Linked DNA regions of Schizosaccharomyces pombe. The gene in region 4 interacts genetically with the main gene of each other region. Each region holds a gene or a part of one and is shown on either strand. Other genes may lie near its edges. The genes, in order: cdc10, mad2, pof3 and cds1.

Region 1 (5,506 bases), on a different chromosome or scaffold from region 4:
TAATAATAGAGCTTCTCGTGAATATCCTATCGCACGAGAAAAAGAAATTTCATTAATCTACTTATTACGAGATTATCTTTTCCATCAGATAGATGAAGATGAGTGTCCTGTGATAGATTTATATCAAGTGCTGAATCGCCTGGGAAAGGTAAGTTTTTTACATTTTTCTCATTATTGCATTTATTAATTCATTAGCTTGATGCCGGTATAAATCAAGCCATCGCATTAATTTCCCGAGATGAACTTGATTGTGTTTCAGTTTCTTATGGGGAGGTAAGTATTTGCTCAAAAAGCCATAGTGGGTGCTTAGTAAATTAGACTACTTTTCCACACTATATAGCCTGTTTGTTTGCAAAATTACTAACAATAACAAATGTAGCTAAAAGCTTGGTTGGACAACGTTTACGAAATGGAAATAAATTCTTAAAATAAAACATTTTTCTTTACAGAATATTTATTTGTTTTTTTGTATCTATTACCATGGTTGTTAATTTAAGTAAATAATAGTTTTCGCTATAATAATATTAGAAGGAAGCTAAGCTTAATGTGGTTTTGAATTACCTACTGCAACACACCGTATTGAAACAAAAACGATCAGGAATAGAAGCCTGACACTTATCAGATAAAATTCATTAATACGTTTTCCTGGTTTAATTATTAATTACGGAAACTCCCATGCTTGTTAAGGTACATACAGACGGTTAATCATAAACTTCTTAGAGGAGAGAGTTTAGCAGTTGTCCTCAAAAAATGGCAAACCCTTTCGTTCGAAATCAATCTTTTAAATCAGTATTTTTTAAAAATTTAGTCGGAATTACCCTATGGGTACCCGTATTAATGTTCGTTGAACAACATGTAGTCAGCGTCGGTACAATTGAAGGTAGATCTATGAAACCAGCCTTTAACCCTGAGACAAACATGCTGCAGAGAGATAGGGTACTACTTTGGAAATGGAATAAGGATTACAAAAGAGGAGATGTAGTTATACTACGGTAAGTTCTTGGATCGTTGCAGGGTCTTTCGGTACTGAGTTTCCCTTTTTATCGTTACTAATAAGCAACAAGCTCTCCAGAAAACCCAGAGGAACTATTGGTAAAAAGAGTTCTAGGAGTAGAATACGATATCATGAAAACGAGACCTCCTAAAAAGTTGTCATTAGTACCCGTTCCCGAGGGACATGTGTGGGTCGAAGGCGATGAACAATTTCATTCTATGTAGGTTTCCAACAATTGTTTTTTTACTTTTTCGTTTTCTTCTATAGAGATATTAACTAGTTTACAGTGATAGTAACAAATTTGGCCCAGTATCGACAGGACTCATCACTGCCAAAGTGATTGCAATTTTGTTTCCCTTCTCTCGTGCAGGGCGTATTGATCATGAAGGTTTCCGAAAGAATGCAGTGTTTTTAAGTGGAAAACGTTCTGTTAAGTAAGCTGCACCACAGTGAACCTGTTTCCTTGACAGTTTAGTTCCATGCTGGTTGGTGCTTATTTACATTTCTTTTAAGGAACACGTTATCCTTAAATTTAATTTATTTCGACGCGTCGCGTTCTATATATGACGTCATTAATATGTCTATCTATTTACCTATTTGAAAAAGATGGAAGTTGGAAGCTACTTTGTATTAGAAATACCAATAAAAAAATATAATTTTTTCATACTCAACATCAAAACTTTTATTTAGGGAAAATTAGAATTGACTGAAAAATCCGTCTCTTTTGCATATCCCGAAACAGTAAAGTCGTTGAGTATAGCAAAGTTGGAAATTTTTCAACAGGGTATTTGAAATGAGAAAGAATTCCATTTCTAAGTAGCCTTTAAATAAAACCCCCAGAAGAAACGAACATTGAAGTAGTCCTTTGTTTTCCTTAGGAAGCCTCATATATCGTTACTTCGAATACGGTCTAACGCCGTACCAAATGTATACAGCTGCGTGAACCTTCCCAGAGCGAATTTGTGTATAACACGAAATCCGAAAAAATTACTTCTATTTATTTGAAAAAGAAAGGAATTCACAATCTCTTAAACAAACCAAGTGGTGAGGAGCTCGAGTCTTCTTTCATGGTCAGTTCAGCACCCTTATTTTCGAGAAAAACGTGCTGCCCTTTATAAAAAATTCGATATTTTTTCGGCATTTTTTATTTTAATATACTATAATGGCTTCAGCCAATTTTATTCGCCAGTTTGAGCTGGGGAACGATTCTTTTTCATACCAAAAACGCCCAGAGGATGAGCCATCACAACCCCTTTCAAACAGAAATATAAACAAACTAAACGATTCATCTACTTTAAAAGACTCTAGTTCAAGGATTTTTATTAACTCCCAAGTTTTACGTGATGGCCGACCCGTAGAATTGTATGCTGTCGAATGTTCAGGCATGAAATATATGGAGCTTAGCTGTGGGGATAATGTTGCTCTTCGAAGATGTCCAGATTCTTACTTTAATATCTCTCAAATACTTCGACTTGCTGGTACTTCGTCATCTGAAAACGCCAAAGAATTGGATGATATTATCGAGAGTGGGGACTATGAGAATGTTGACTCCAAACACCCTCAAATAGATGGAGTATGGGTTCCATATGATCGAGCAATTTCTATAGCAAAGCGATATGGGGTTTATGAAATTTTACAACCATTAATTTCTTTTAATCTTGATTTATTCCCCAAATTTTCAAAGCAGCAACAAATCGAAAGTTCTTCAATCTCCAAAAATTTAAATACTTCTTCTTTTAATACGCGATCCCCTTTGAGGAATCATAATTTTTCAAACCCTAGCAAGTCTTCAAAGAATGGGGTGCACACTATAAACAATATGCAGAGTTCACCTTCACCTTCTTCCTCTTTCTTACTACCTTTAACTCAAATTGATAGCCAAAATGTTAAACGCTCTAACAATTACCTCTCCACCTCTCCACCTATCCTTGAACAGCGTTTAAAACGGCATAGAATTGATGTCAGTGATGAAGACTTACATCCCTCCTCACAGTTAAATGATAATGAGGCCTCTTCATTGTTTCCAGATACGCCAAGGTTGAACCATTCACTTTCTTTTGTATCCTTGGTTTCTAGTCTTCCTCCACTTGATCAGAATATTATGCAGGATTATCATACATCAAAAGACATTTTGACCTCTATCTTTTTAGATGTAAACTTTGCTGATTCCAGCGCCTTAGAAGCAAAGCTGTCGGACTCATTAGATTTGGATGTCCCCATTGACGAACTTGGACACGCCGCTCTGCACTGGGCAGCAGCCGTTGCCAAAATGCCTTTGTTACAAGCCTTAATACATAAAGGAGCTAATCCTTTACGTGGCAACCTCACAGGAGAAACGGCATTAATGAGATCGGTTTTGGTAACCAATCATCTCAATCAGAACTCTTTTGGTGATTTACTAGACTTGCTTTACGCATCTCTTCCCTGTACAGATCGAGCTGGACGGACCGTCGTTCATCACATTTGTCTTACTGCAGGTATAAAAGGCCGAGGTTCAGCATCGAGATATTACTTAGAAACCTTATTAAATTGGGCAAAGAAACATGCAAGTGGTAACAACGGATATATGCTGAAAGACTTCATAAACTATTTAAATCATCAAGATAAAAATGGGGATACAGCTTTAAATATCGCAGCAAGAATTGGAAATAAGAACATTGTTGAAGTTTTAATGCAAGCCGGAGCTTCCGCTTATATTCCTAATCGTGCAGGGTTAAGCGTAGCAAATTTTGGAATTTTTGTTGAAAACGCATTAAAACAACCCGAAGACTCAAAACAAACAAAAGTTTCCCTTATGAGTGAAAATCTGTCCAGCAAAGAAAAGACTGCTGTCCCTCCTCGTCAAAAGAGTAGAGACATTATCGCCTCTGTGACCGATGTAATATCTTCTCTGGATAAAGATTTTCAGGATGAAATGGCTGCAAAACAGTCTATGATTGACTCAGCCTACACCCAATTGCGTGAATCTACAAAAAAGCTGTCCGATCTTCGTGAACAACTACACGTGTCCGAGACGCAAAGAACTTTGTTTCTTGAATTAAGGCAACGTTGTAAAAATCTTATGACTTCGATCGAAGAACAGAAAAGTGAATTAAGTAATCTTTATGAATCTTTTGATCCCAATGGAATACACGATTCATTATCATTGGATGCTGACGCTCCTTTTACTGTCAATGAAAACAACAACAAAAATTTATCTATTGCTGAATTGAAGTTTCAAGTTGCTGCTTATGAGAGAAATGAAGCCAGATTAAACGAATTAGCGAACAAACTTTGGCAACGAAATTCCAACATAAAATCAAAGTGCCGTCGGGTTGTTTCCCTATGCACCGGTGTCGATGAATCTCGAGTGGATTCATTATTGGAAAGTTTGTTACAAGCCGTGGAAAGTGACGGTCAACAGGGAGAAGTAGATATGGGTCGAGTTGCTGGATTCTTACGTGTTGTTAAAGAACATCAAGCATAATATTGCTTTTTGTGGTTTACCACTAAAGTGTCCTGAAATAATTAACTACTTTAATTTTTTTCTTAATATAGAATCCTACCAAATGAATAAAACGTAATTTATTATATGTTAATAATCTTGGCTATTGGAAATTAGTTAAATTTTCATTAAGCTTTTCGAAATATGTTTTTTGCTCTATAGCTAAATTTCCCGATACGCCGCTAAGAACAGTCGAAATGAGGGTATAATTATTGGACAAAAACCTACTTTGTCTCCTTTTGTCATTAACTGTTTTACACAGGTTTTGTAACATGCTCACATAATCCTGAGCTAGTCTTGAAGCACTTCGTGCAACAGGCTCGGCTTCTACGACATTAACACTTAGCATCGAAAGGCTATAAAGTAGTTCAGCTACTCGCTGCGAAAGTGGATGAGGTCGCGAAGTGATTTCTTCTGGCTTCACAGATAAGTTAGTTTTACGGAGTGACTCACAGTGCATGTCCATGACAGCTTGAAAGCGAGGCCACAGAAAAAGAATCATGGAGTTATAGTGTGGCTCAATAACAGGCACTATATTAGTTTGCGCCTGTAAAGCTAATTTTTGAGTAAAACGAATGGACTTCAAAATACCTATGCAATCGATACTGCTTGATATCAATCCTGTAATGTATTTGCGTGAAAAATGTAAAGTTTTTTCAAAGATAGCGGCAAAAACGGTAGCCTGCTGATCTTTAGAGAGGTTAAAGTACTCCAGCAAAAAAGCATATTCAGAAGAGACGTGTTCCGTCAAGACTAATTCCCATGAGCAATAAACACGTTCAATATATTGTGGGGAAGATTCAATATGATGCATTGTAGATGCTGTCAACACAGAGTTCATATCAAAATCCTGAGGGCGCAAGTTTACTGAGAGCATTTGATTCCCGTAAGATTGTTGTGCTCCTTTGGAAAGGTTGAAGAGTCCTTTCCGATCCTCTTCAACGCGAATAGTTTCTCCCTTAAGGACATGAACTTTGTCCAAAAACCTAGAGTACTGTTCGAAGTGGTATAGATAAAACCAATTCATC
Region 2 (3,317 bases), on a different chromosome or scaffold from region 4:
CAGAAATCCTCAAGCTTTTAAGAATAAATCTTTAAGAAATTTCAAAAAAAAACTAGATAGCCCCAAAATTCAAGAAGCAAAGAGAAAAGAGGAACCGTCCAAGTCTTGGTATTCTCTGAGGAAACGATGATTCACACTCAGTACTAGTAAAGGCTAAGTAACTGATGAATAGATGTCATACATACTGAATCGTTATTAATAGATAACGCGAGTTAATGTTTATTAGTGATAATGTTATTAAATACGGAAAACTCCGTTAACAATAATATTCCAGCTTCTCAACAGTCTTAAAAAAATTGAGGAACACGTCTTGACTAAATTAGAATTTCTAACTTTGATATTTAAAATGATATACACATTGTTCAATTCTGTTAAATTATTTGCTACTGTGTTCATTTTGTAGTCAGAAACCTACCTCAAGAGATGAATGTCGTTACCTTGGCATATAGAATCTTACCTCGCAAATGCTACCATCAGTTTAAAATGTTGATTTACTGCCGCAAAGTTTCAATGAAAACATCATTGCGAGCTGTTGCTATAGTGTATTTTGTTTAATGAATAAGAGAAGATGATTATATTTTAAAGAATGCAAAAGTATTATTAAATAAATGGATAGAATAGAGATGCGTCACAAAATTATAAATATTGGACATTAAAACAAACATAGGATTCACCGAATTATAGTTAAACAATATGGCCGGAATTTTGAGATTTATAGAACACATCAAAGCTTTGTTTTCTATTATCTCATCTAATAGGTAAGGATCATGCCAAAAAAAACAACTAAGGATTCACTCGATATGCAACTTGACAATCAATTTTGTGCATACTCGTACTAAAACTTCGTAATTGAACTTGTTCAGCATCTCTTAAAATCCTAGGGTCACTGTCTACCCAATCTGTTGGAACTTCGCTGTCTTTATCAGCGTATACCAAAACGTTAAACGTACACTGTTCTTCTAGTTGAGGCAAAAAGGTCACTGTAGCAGTGATTTGACGAATTAGAGCTTGAATTTCTTTTTGTACTCGCAGTTCATCTTCTTTGTTGCCAATGTTCTGAAATTGATCAGCTGTGTCAACCATCTCCACATTAAACTGCCACCGCTCTAAATCTTCACCTGAACATTTACTAGTAATTACCAAAATCAGTTTTTGAATTTTTTTTGCAAACATCCATTCTAAAAATTTGTTAATTCCAAAAGTGATAATAGAACAACAACTCACTGTGTAACTGAGATACAATTTTTCGAATGTAAGTCTTGACCTCTTCATCTACACTGACAAGCATATTTAATCCATATTTCCGAACAACTTTGAAGTCTTCTGCTGGGTAAATTCCTCGTTGAAAAAGGATTGAGTTCACCGCATATTCTTCATTAAGTTAGCATGGCATATTTGAAACATTTACAAACCAAAAAATTCGCTAACAAGTTTGGAAGAACCTTTCAGTGAAAAATTCGTTCTTATGGGAACGCTAGACATGTTGTGTTGTAGATTTTTGTAATAAGCAATAGGTTGTGTAGTAATTGAGTAGGTACTGCCATGATGGTTGCTTAGAGGTACCCTTTCAACGTAAAAGCAACCATATAAGCATTTAACAAACAAAAGTGAAAACTTTAATAATAAGACTACTAAAGCATTTACGCAAACTTGAAAGTAACTAATCTGTCATTTTAAACTCATTTCACTATCTCTATCATTAAAAGTCATTGATCGTAATAATGTCAGTTTGGGGACAAAATAAGTTCATCTCCTCTTTCAAACTTTAAAACATCTCTCCTTATTTCGTTATGGACTCTAAAGCCTTTTTCCAACATGATTATATAGCAAATAATAGCCCGACTCTCCATCTCTTTTTTCAAGAGCAAGTCTATAACGTCCATACAAACCCCTAAACTTAGTCAGTGAAATGTTCTATGTTTTTAATTAACTTACCTTTATTACAGGGGCAGGAAGCCAATGCTTTGGTGGTAATCGCCGAAACCCATTCAGTACCATTTAATCGCAAATTGAGAATCTTTAAATATATTCTCCAAAACTTGGCGACGGATTTCAACTTTTCATTATTTAGAGTGATATCCAAAGTCCTTAAAAAGTACTGTGAGTTTGTTGGCTCAATCTGTTGAACGGCAACATAAAAAAGGTACCAACAAGCTGTAACAACAGCATTTGAAGCAGATTTTAAAATTTTCATAGCCCTAATTTTTGGTTTGTTCTCTTGTCTCAACTTAGATTCAAAAAATATATAAACTTCCCATATAGCCGTATTTGCACTGAAAAGTGTAACTCCCTTTTCAAAAAAAGGTCGAACCTTGGGTAGATTATAGAATTGAAGAGTGGTAGCTTGATAATAAAAAATCAATGAACAATAAGAAAAATAGCATTCCATTTCTGAAGAAGCCCCCCATCCATAGCTTTCGAATTTTTGAATGCATAAATACACACAATTATCCATTGAATCCATATCAGTACAGTGTGTCCATATAGTATAGATAAGACAAACATACAGCAATTCTTCCTTGCTGGCGCAATTTTCCAACATACCAAATAGCATTTCGGATGCTCGATTATTATCGCTAGTTAAAGATTTATCACCAGGAAACAACAGGCATTTTATAATAACTAAGCATCCTTCAGTATCATTAATAAGTAGCTTTCTAAAAGCCCAGTTTTTGTATACATTTAAATTATCAATGTAGCGCAATTGGGAAGCATGGATCTGAAAAATTGTTTTAAAAATTGTTTCAGCCATAGTAAAAGCACCACTTAAGTGTTCCAATTGAGCGTAAGTGTTCCAAACAGACACTGAACTATCGTATTTTTTGAGAATCTTCTTTACAATTTTACTGAATTTGGTTAGAAGGAAACAAAAACATCTACTTACTTCACTTGGGGTTTCTCCTCACTTAGGTTCTTCGTCTCCATTTGCTTTAAATAAATTAAATAAACGCTCGCTAAATACTCATCGTCCGCCGAAAATACTAGTTGATGAAAAGCACGCTCCATTGATTCCTTCACATGATGTGCAAGGTTGTAATCAAATAACTTGAAATTTAAATTTTTAAACGACATAAGAGAAATGAAGAGATCAATGTATGAAGGTAGTATACTACAGGGAAATTGAAAGCTGTTTTTCTCAGCTATCTGTCCATTTATAAAGGATTCACTGGAAGCCATGCCAAAAAGCAAGTTGTAAATTCCTTTGTCATAAGAAGCAAACCATGAGTTTGTTGAAATCCCCGGTGGAAAAAGAGGTACTCCGCAAAATGCAAAAAATTTATACTTGAATGCGAAAGCAATCGTTTCGCTTTCAAAAC
Region 3 (4,231 bases), 610 kb from region 4:
TCTCAACTTCCCGAAGGAATAAGGGAGCTTGGAAGACAACTGGATATGTTTCTGGCCGAACGTCAATCTGTCGTTGTTGATCATTTTAATCACGCTGAAGGTTCTGACGATATCATTCTCTTGGATGGAATATCGGAAAACCCATATATCATTTCTGATGAGACCCGGGCTGCTGGCCCTATTTTATATAAAGGGATTGGCCATTATTTAGGTCCAAATCCACAGACACAACCTATTCTTCGTGGTAATCCAACCTCTTATATTTATAACACCAAAACTGAGGCTGAGGTCTCAAAGAATCCTTGGGCTGCTGGCACTCAACTGTTTTTGGTCAGTGTTTTGCAAAGTAGCACCGGCGAACGTGTTGGTCTTAGTGGCAGTATCGATATGTTAAAAGATGAATATTTGTCTCCCCAAAGCCCCTCGTTTTCCAAATCTAATTTTCTTTTTGCTCGTGATTTGACAAATTGGGTTTTCCAGCGCAAGGGTGTGTTGCAGGCCACTAACATGACTTATGGAAAGGTCGCTGAGCCATTAGAGTCTCGCAATGCTTCTTGTTATCGTATTAAAGATGAAATGGTAAGTTTTTTGTTTGTATTTAAAAAGCCTTTATTGATATTATGTCATAATTTAATTTTAGCAAGTATATTGTTTGAAGCGTACTTGAGCAGCACAATATTTTATCTCTTTCAAGAGTACTAACGTTTAGATTTTCTCAATCGACATATCTCTTTTAGAAGACGGTCAGCAAACTCCATACGTTGCAGATGATGTTCAATTGGAACTTATCATGTTGGACCCTTACTATCGTGTCAATCTCGTTCCAGTTCCATCGGATAGTCAAACATCTCAACATTATGAAGCTGTGTTAGTTGCGCCTGACCACTACGGCGACTTTACATTTAAAATCGAATACAAGCGTCCTGGCCTTACTCCTATTGAAGAGAAATCTACCTTTACACTTCGTCAATTCTTTCATAATGAGTTCCCTCGATTCCTCCCTCACGCCTATCCTTACTATGCCTCTTGTTTCTCTGTATTGGGTGCCTTTTTATTATTTTGTGGAATTTGGCTTCTCCAAAAACCCGCTAAACCTGTCGTTCCTTCTGCCAAAAAACAAAATTAGTTTAAATGAGTAACCTGACAACTGAAATATTTTTATCAGCTGCCTAAATACTCTCTTTATAATATAATGATGTTGGCCATATTTGGCGCTAATGAATCATTTGTTCCTACTGGGTTCTGAAAAAAAAGCGAAAACTGCATAATTTCGATTTGTTCTCGATTTCCATTAAATTTCATAGCTAATGTAAAGAAGTATGCTGTTGAGTGCGATTACTTTAATTTTCGATGAGTCGTATATGGTATAGGCTTCAGTGCAAAATAGTAAACACCATATAAGAAGCTATCCTTGCTTTATCTTTTAATCACTTTATTGTTTTGTACTCAATAGTTAAACCCAAATATTTTTTGATCGATTACCGTATGCTAATTTTGCTTGAGATTGTTTACGTGTTTTAACATATGAAAAGCATAACAAATAAGTAGATACTTTTTTTTCCAAACTTTTGGTTACATGCTTATTATTAGTATTTTTGCACATTCAATTTCTGTTTAAATGAAATTTGAAGGCGCTAGCTTTAACTATCCTTTAACAATTCTAACTTACTCCATAAAGCTTGCGACTACGAAAGCATAATATATACCTCAAAAAGGATATCGAGGTTCTTAAAATACGGTTCATTGGAAGCTATATGGGAGGTTTATGTTTATGTATAGAAAAAATAAATCGTTGGGTATAGAAATTAAGATTTGGATTCATGAATAACTATCAAGTAAAAGCAATAAAGGAGAAGACCCAGCAATATCTCTCTAAAAGGAAGTTTGAAGATGCATTGACATTCATTACTAAAACCATCGAACAGGAGCCCAATCCTACGATTGACTTGTTTGAACTAAGGGCTCAAGTTTACGAAAAGTCAGGTCAATACTCACAAGCAGAACTTGATGCTAAACGGATGATTCATTTGAATGCAAGAAATGCTAGAGGTTACCTACGCTTGGGAAAACTTTTACAGCTTGACGGCTTTGATAAGAAAGCAGATCAATTGTATACGCAAGGCCTGCGAATGGTGCATAAAATGGATCCCTTGAGACCGGTATTAAAAAAAGTAAGCCAAAGATTGAATGAAAGAATTCTTCGGACCAGGCCGGTACTAGATTTGTTTCGCATTCTTCCCCGAGAAGTCCTATTATGTATTCTACAGCAACTAAATTTCAAAAGTATTGTTCAGTGTATGCAAGTCTGCAAACACTGGAGAGACTGTATTAAGAAAGAACCTAGCTTATTTTGTTGCTTAGACTTTTCATGCGCCTCTCCTCGAAGTGTAAACTCTAGAGATCGAAACGTTATGGCTGTTGCTCGATACTCTGTTTATTCAAAAGACAATATACAGGAAGTAATTGGCTTAGAGAAGCTTGGTATATTAACACCTACCAAAGCCTTACTTCGTTCAGTCAAATCACTTAAAGTCTACAAAACCATTTCACCTCTCCACACTCAGTCAACGGATAAATTGTATACAATTTGGACGCCATTTTCTGAACTTCACTACTTTTATTGTGCTACTCCTATAACATTTTCCATAGCTTCTAAGATTTTATCTTGCTGTAAGAAACTCAAGCAGGTTGAGCTTGTTGACTTAATTCCCGATTTGATATTTGATTCTATGGATTGGGATAAACTCTTTAATGCAGAATCTGTACCGCTGGCTCTTAAATCTTTGACGTTTATCCGAAATCAAAAGTTTCCCTTTCACCATAAAGAACAGCAATTTCTTAAAGACTTGCTGTCTGCCAGTCCATATTTAGAATATCTGGAAGCCTCATATCAGTCAGACCTAGTTGCTGCAATAAAAAAATATAAAATTAATCTCCGATCGTTAATTATCATTGATGAAGGAGTATCGAATACTGTTAAAGATCTAGCATTCCTTCCTCAATCTCTTACCACGTTAATTGTGAAACCCTGCAATCCTGCATCTACAATTTTATGTCCATATTTATTCCCTACAAATGTCCGGATGGAATCACTAATCAACTTAGAGTTATTTCTTTATCTTCGTTTATCTCAAAATGATATCGATAATGTTGTCAAATTTTTGACTTCTTGTTACAAACTAAAAAAGCTGGTTCTACACGATTCGCTAGCATTGGCCCCCCATTTCTTTGAAATATTTGCATCTTTACCGGAACTTGAGCATCTTGAGATTCCTGATAACGTTGCTCTTCAAAATAAGCATGCAATACACATTACTGATTGTTGTCCAAATCTAAAGTATGTGAACTTTTCAAATTCAATATCCCTCGATGGATCGGGATTTATAGCAGTTTTACGAGGACTGAAAGAATTAAAACGTATAGATATTATTAATTGTGATTCTGTTTCTAGAGATGCAATAGATTGGGCGCGCTCCAAAGGTATGCAAGTTACCGTAGCTTCCTCGCTTCCAAATTCTCAACCATTGGGTACAAAAAAGATACGCCTAATATAATATGATCATATTGTCTTTATATATTCAATCCTAGTAAACCCGTATCATCGCATTGAAAGGAAGATTTTTAAGAGATAGATCAATCATTGAGAATAAATTAAAAAGCGCGTAAGCTATTTCTAATCATAACTTTGTGTTGAGCTGATAATATTACATACATCCAACAGTAATATCGTAACTCGGAAAAAGAAAGACATACAACTCGTGATTCCAAAAATAAAATAAAGATAAAAGAAAGCAATGAACAATATTACTGTCATAAAAATCTATTTCGTGTAAGTATTCACACTTATTTATAGATCTAATTGGATTTTGAAAAAATATTAACCGACCTCTCATAGTGATGAAAGTAGCATTCCACGTTTAGCAGTAAGCGTGATTTCGTTCTGAATGGCAACATCCTGCTTGACAGATATAACATCCTTCGTCGCTAAAACGAGGACATCAAAGAAAAGTTGAACAGCTTCCTCTCTATTGCATCCCGCACTAAGAGTTTGGAAGGATACTTTTTCACCTTCAGTATAAGGATCCCACTTATTGCGTAGAGAATCTTTGGCTGTTTGTGAACTAGGAAGGGCCTCAGATACCGAAGAGTCCAATCGTTCGCTTCCCAGCAAATCGGCCTCGTCCAGCATTACGGGAGGAGCGTCAAAAAGTGAATCATCGGCTGATTCCAA
Region 4 (4,319 bases):
TAGTTAACAAACAGTCAAAGACTTCATTGCATACTTCTAAAGTCCCAGAAACGGATCATTTTCCCAGCATACACAGCCATTAACCGATCAGAATGCGTAGGATCCCATACTAGTTGTTCGACAAGACCATATCCTCTGTTCCCTAATTCAGTAGTAAATTTAAAATCCAAACGATCTGAATTCCAAACAAGTACTGATCCTGAAGATGAAGAACTCGCAAGTCTCGAGCCGGAAAGATTCCAGCCTAGGGAACGTATAGGTCCCTGTTGCCCTTGTAAATCTCGAGTTTTCAATTCGGGAAACTTTGGCTAAAAAGAAAAAAGAAAGTTTTAGTATTTTATGCTCTAGTTTTTATAAATCATTAACATACAAGCGATTCTGTAACTGAAGCACACATGGCAAAGATCGCGTCGAGACGTCCAAAGGGATAGTAGTACGTGGACAGAGTGGTTAGTGTAAACTTACTGTCTATTTACAATATTATAAATTTGACGGTCTAAGTATAAAAATTAATTATCATTTAGAATACTAAATATTAATAATCTAACTCGAAGAATTGAGCTGTTCGGTGGCCTCATGTTCAGACGATGATGGTGGAGTACGATGTTCGTGTGTGCTCACAGTGTAAAACCAAGGATGCTGGAGAGCTTCACTTTCAGATATTCTTTTCTCTGGATTAATTTCAAGCATCCTGTTGATTAAATCGATTCCCTCTTCTGAAATTTCGTTTTCTAATAAAGGCTCTATCGGATATGCACCTTTTGATATCAACTCAATACATTTTGCTTGTGACGAAGATGCAAAAGGAATAGACGCAGTAAGCCTGTGAATTAGTAATTGGAAAAAATTAAGGCATGAAGGTTCATTGCTAATTGATTAAAGCCGACAAACTTACATCACATATAAAACACATCCCAAACTCCATATATCAACTTTATCATCATAACCTCCGTCCAAGTTGACGTTTTTTGACTTCAAAACTTCCGGTGCTAGATAACCCATTGTCCCGCAAAATGTTTCTAAAAAGGTTCCCGTCCCATGAATAACTTTAGCCAAGCCAAAATCAGATATTTTAAGATGGAAATCATTTGTTATAAGAATGTTCTACAAGTTAGACTTTCTTATCAATAAACAAGATATACCTCGGGTTTTATGTCTCTATGTGTCACACCCTGCTTGTGCAAATGTAAAAGCGTTTCTAAAAGTTGTTTGAGAAGAGGTTTACAGTCTTGTTCGTCGATGGAGCCATTAGCAATTAAAAAATCCATAAGATCCCCACCCTCAACATATTCCATAACAATAAATAACTCGTCATCATTTTCAAAAATTTCATGGCATTGTACAACTCCTGGCTAAAAGATAAGTGTTAGCTAGGAGTTTTTCGTATAAAAAAAGGTGAACATAAAATGATACTCACATGGTGCAAAGATTTTAATATATCAATTTCTCGTTGAAACATTTCAGTAGCTCGCTTTTCCGAACTTGTCAAAAGGATTTTTCGTTTGTTGATAATTTTAATAGCATACCACTTGCCACTATTCACTTCTACCGCTAGCTTGACAACTGCAAATGTACCACTTCCAAGTGTACGAATAATTTCGTAATGACTGTTCTCGGATTTAATCATGTTTTTCTGGGAATCTCGTGAATGTTTAACTGGTACCTGGCACAAAAAAGCTATAAGACTGTAAGCAAACTTGAAGTGAATTCTACGTCAACAATCTCCTTCAGTGTAAAGGACGTACAAATTTCATCTTTCGGCACACCTAGGCCAATTCGAATTTCATCTCCGTTTGACAAGATAGTTCTACTATTCTTGGCAAGCCGTTCCTAAATGACGTCAGTAAATTGTAAACGAATTAAGCTCTCGCTTACAAAATTCAGAAATGTTCCATTAGAAGAGTGGTCTGAAATTGTTAGAAAAGGTGGAAGAGGCAGAAGACTTTAAAAGATTTTTTAATCCTTTAGACTTACCGTGTAAAAAAACGACATTCTCAGATTCATCGGAATCATTTCTATGCCCCTGGGTCATTTCGTTAGATAATTATGTCTTAAAGAGATTGAAGTTCAATTAAAACTAAACGAGTTCAGCTGGCCACTATTATTTTATATACCTGATAGATTTCAAAATGAAAGTTGCTAACTCTAGGTCCGTTTAAAACCACTTCACAAGATTTATGACGTCCAAATCTCCAAAACCCATTGTGCACATCTGTAGTAAGAGGAATCACTTCTGTCTTACCATCAAGCATGCGAGTCATAACCAATTTCATAAATACATTTTCGTTGTTAACCACCTGTTTGGCTATGTTCTGACTAACATGTAGTGGTGCCTCTTGAGTAGCCTGCGTAGCTTCTTCTGGTTCTTCCATAGTATCTTAAAAACAGAAAAACTGGATGAATTCTTTAACCATGTATATCAGTAAACACAAATAAACGTGCAAATGAGTGATCAAGCTTTTAACAGAAGTAAAAAGACCAAAGAAGCAGTTATCATGTCAGACGAGGGCTTATGATTTACTGACTTCGCTTTAAACATCGTTATAAATTTTACGATATAAAATGTATCATAAGACAATAATAACGAACTGTTGCAATACCAGATTTTTCGCGAAGCACGAGTAATATAAACAATGTTTCATCCACCTACTTTACTGTACGTTATACGTAGTGAGGATTAAATGTTAATTGTTAAGTAGTAGTAATCCCTATTTATATTTTTTTGGTATACGTGAAGGTTGCCATCTGTCAACATTCCTTTGTATTTCAAACTTCGACTTCCGCGATTGAAGACTTTGTTCTACGGCATTAAATAGTTTTCTGATCTCCTTAATTGTTACCATTATTCAAAAATCTTCTATACCAAAGCAAGGAATAAGAAATATAATGCTGATTCTTGGTTTAACCGGCTCAATTGCCACGGGTAAGTTATCAAATAACAATTGGTTTAATAGTGGTTAACCTAGTTAAGGGAAATCTACAGTTTCTCGCGAGTTTCAAGAGAAATATCATATAAAAATTATCGATGCTGATGTGTTAGCTAGAAAGGTGGTAGAACCGAATACACCTTGCTTAATAAAAATTCAGAAAGAGTTCGGTAATGAAGTATTACATGAAGATGGCACTTTGAATCGAGCAAAGCTTGGCCAGGCAGTATTTCAAGACGCAGGAAAGAGGTCACTTTTGAATTCAATAATACATCCAGCAGTACGTTTGGAAATGCTCAAAGAACTGCTTCGATGTTACGTACGGGGTTACAGCATAGTTATTTTGGACGTTCCTTTGCTTTTTGAAGCTAAAATGCAATTTATTTGCTGGAAAACGATCTGCGTGTCTTGCGATAAAAGCATTCAAAAGCAACGTTTGCTGGCACGTAATCCTGAGCTTACTGCAGAGGATGCTGAAAACCGAGTACAAGCGCAGATGCCTCTTGAACTTAAGTGTCAGCTTGCGGACATTGTAATAGAAAATAATTCGGATCTTGAGACCTTATATGAAAACATACATAATGTCCTACCTTTAATCACACCTTCCTATTTTTTTACCTTACTATGTTTAATTCTACCGCCATTGCAAATAACTTTACAAGTTATTGCCTTTGTCTCGCAGAAGAAAAAGGTATCTGAATTCAGAAAACATATATAATCCTTTTTTCCATATTCTTTAATTTCCTCGTTTGTTATTTAAGCCAATAGTCTTAATGTTTTTGCTTATAATTAGATCATTTTCATAACTTATCTCAATATCTTGCCTCGAGCTTTCTATATAAATTCACGAGTATATGTTTTATCATGATTTGAAATGAGAAATTAAATCTTTTCATGCGCATACAAATAGCTGAACACTACAATAATGATTAATGTAGAGGTTCTCGCTTAGATTTCTGGGTTTTAAATAAGAAATCGATTGCGTTCCTTCTTTCATTGTCTGTATACTTGGGTATTGAACTTGTATTAATCAATCTTTGCTACAATGCGTGACTTATATTTATGTCAAAGAATAATTAAATTTTTTTTGTTAGTTTCGTTGGGTTAGCTAATTTTTTGATTGATATATTTGTTCACGTATTTACAATTTACATGTTCGCATCCACCATCACTTGAACACCTTGTCAGTAAGTGTTCAGTAGCCAATTTTCTGGCAAAATGGAATCTGGATCTATTGATTTGGATAAGGGTGAGTCAATTTAGTCATTACAATTATGCTAACTCCATGTAGAGATAGATGAATTGAGCAGGGTTTTATTAGAGCATCCTGCTCATGTGGAAAAAGTTTTAAAGACCGTTGAGTTCGATAAATCTGCCCTTCGTTATATTGAT

The links.
Region 1: of cds1 (region 4) and cdc10, changing one suppresses a phenotype caused by changing the other (phenotypic suppression), as found in Schizosaccharomyces pombe (2 studies listed by BioGRID).
Region 2: mutations in cds1 (region 4) and mad2 impair growth when combined (synthetic growth defect), as found in Schizosaccharomyces pombe (2 studies listed by BioGRID, with this or other methods).
Region 3: mutations in cds1 (region 4) and pof3 impair growth when combined (synthetic growth defect), as found in Schizosaccharomyces pombe (2 studies listed by BioGRID).

Annotation. Positions count from the first base shown.
Region 1 is NC_003423.3:2,760,241-2,765,746, reverse strand, and holds cdc10 (DNA-binding transcription factor, MBF transcription factor complex subunit Cdc10), read left to right. Parts: upstream 1-1,946; 5' UTR 1,947-2,156; coding exon 2,157-4,460; 3' UTR 4,461-4,581; downstream 4,582-5,506. Other genes in the region: PAN complex subunit Ppk26, read left to right, coding at 1-148, 196-273, 380-427; mmp2 (endopeptidase catalytic subunit), read left to right, coding at 751-992, 1,065-1,214, 1,282-1,432; GARP complex subunit Vps52, read right to left, coding at 4,582-5,506. UniProt on the Schizosaccharomyces pombe protein: Major component of the cell cycle transcription factor complex MBF (MCB binding factor, also known as DSC1), that controls G1-S phase specific gene expression. Involved in the control of rRNA production, via interaction with pol5.
Region 2 is NC_003423.3:3,292,440-3,295,756, reverse strand, and holds mad2 (mitotic spindle checkpoint protein Mad2), read right to left. Parts: upstream 1,483-3,317; coding exon 1,413-1,482; intron 1,372-1,412; coding exon 1,225-1,371; intron 1,179-1,224; coding exon 784-1,178; 3' UTR 562-783; downstream 1-561. Other genes in the region: nrl1 (NRDE-2 family protein), read right to left, coding at 1,725-1,891, 1,936-2,846, 2,885-3,317. UniProt on the Schizosaccharomyces pombe protein: Feedback control that prevents cells with incompletely assembled spindles from leaving mitosis. It interacts with the anaphase promoting complex/cyclosome (APC/C) thereby inhibiting APC/C-dependent proteolysis, a step required for exit from mitosis.
Region 3 is NC_003421.2:1,344,717-1,348,947, reverse strand, and holds pof3 (F-box protein Pof3), read left to right. Parts: upstream 1-1,672; 5' UTR 1,673-1,820; coding exon 1,821-3,554; 3' UTR 3,555-3,670; downstream 3,671-4,231. Other genes in the region: dolichyl-diphosphooligosaccharide--protein glycotransferase subunit Wbp1, read left to right, coding at 1-579, 710-1,126; mitotic cohesin complex non-SMC subunit Rad21, read right to left, coding at 3,890-4,231. UniProt on the Schizosaccharomyces pombe protein: Has a role in substrate recognition in the Skp1-Cullin-1/Cdc53-F-box (SCF) ubiquitin ligase complex. Required for the maintenance of telomere length and transcriptional silencing at the telomere. Also required for chromosome segregation.
Region 4 is NC_003421.2:738,859-743,177, forward strand, and holds cds1 (replication checkpoint kinase cds1), read right to left. Parts: upstream 2,481-4,319; 5' UTR 2,373-2,480; coding exon 2,115-2,372; exon of another isoform or gene 2,024-2,114; coding exon 1,975-2,023; exon of another isoform or gene 1,908-1,974; coding exon 1,876-1,907; exon of another isoform or gene 1,831-1,875; coding exon 1,746-1,830; exon of another isoform or gene 1,678-1,745; coding exon 1,418-1,677; intron 1,353-1,417; coding exon 1,143-1,352; intron 1,105-1,142; coding exon 896-1,104; exon of another isoform or gene 824-895; coding exon 544-823; 3' UTR 503-543; downstream 1-502. Other genes in the region: THO complex subunit Tho3, read right to left, coding at 35-308, 371-397; cab5 (dephospho-CoA kinase), read left to right, coding at 2,887-2,923, 2,972-3,645; ribosome biogenesis protein Urb1, read left to right, coding at 4,146-4,176, 4,219-4,319. UniProt on the Schizosaccharomyces pombe protein: Has a role in the DNA replication-monitoring S/G2 checkpoint system. It is responsible for blocking mitosis in the S phase.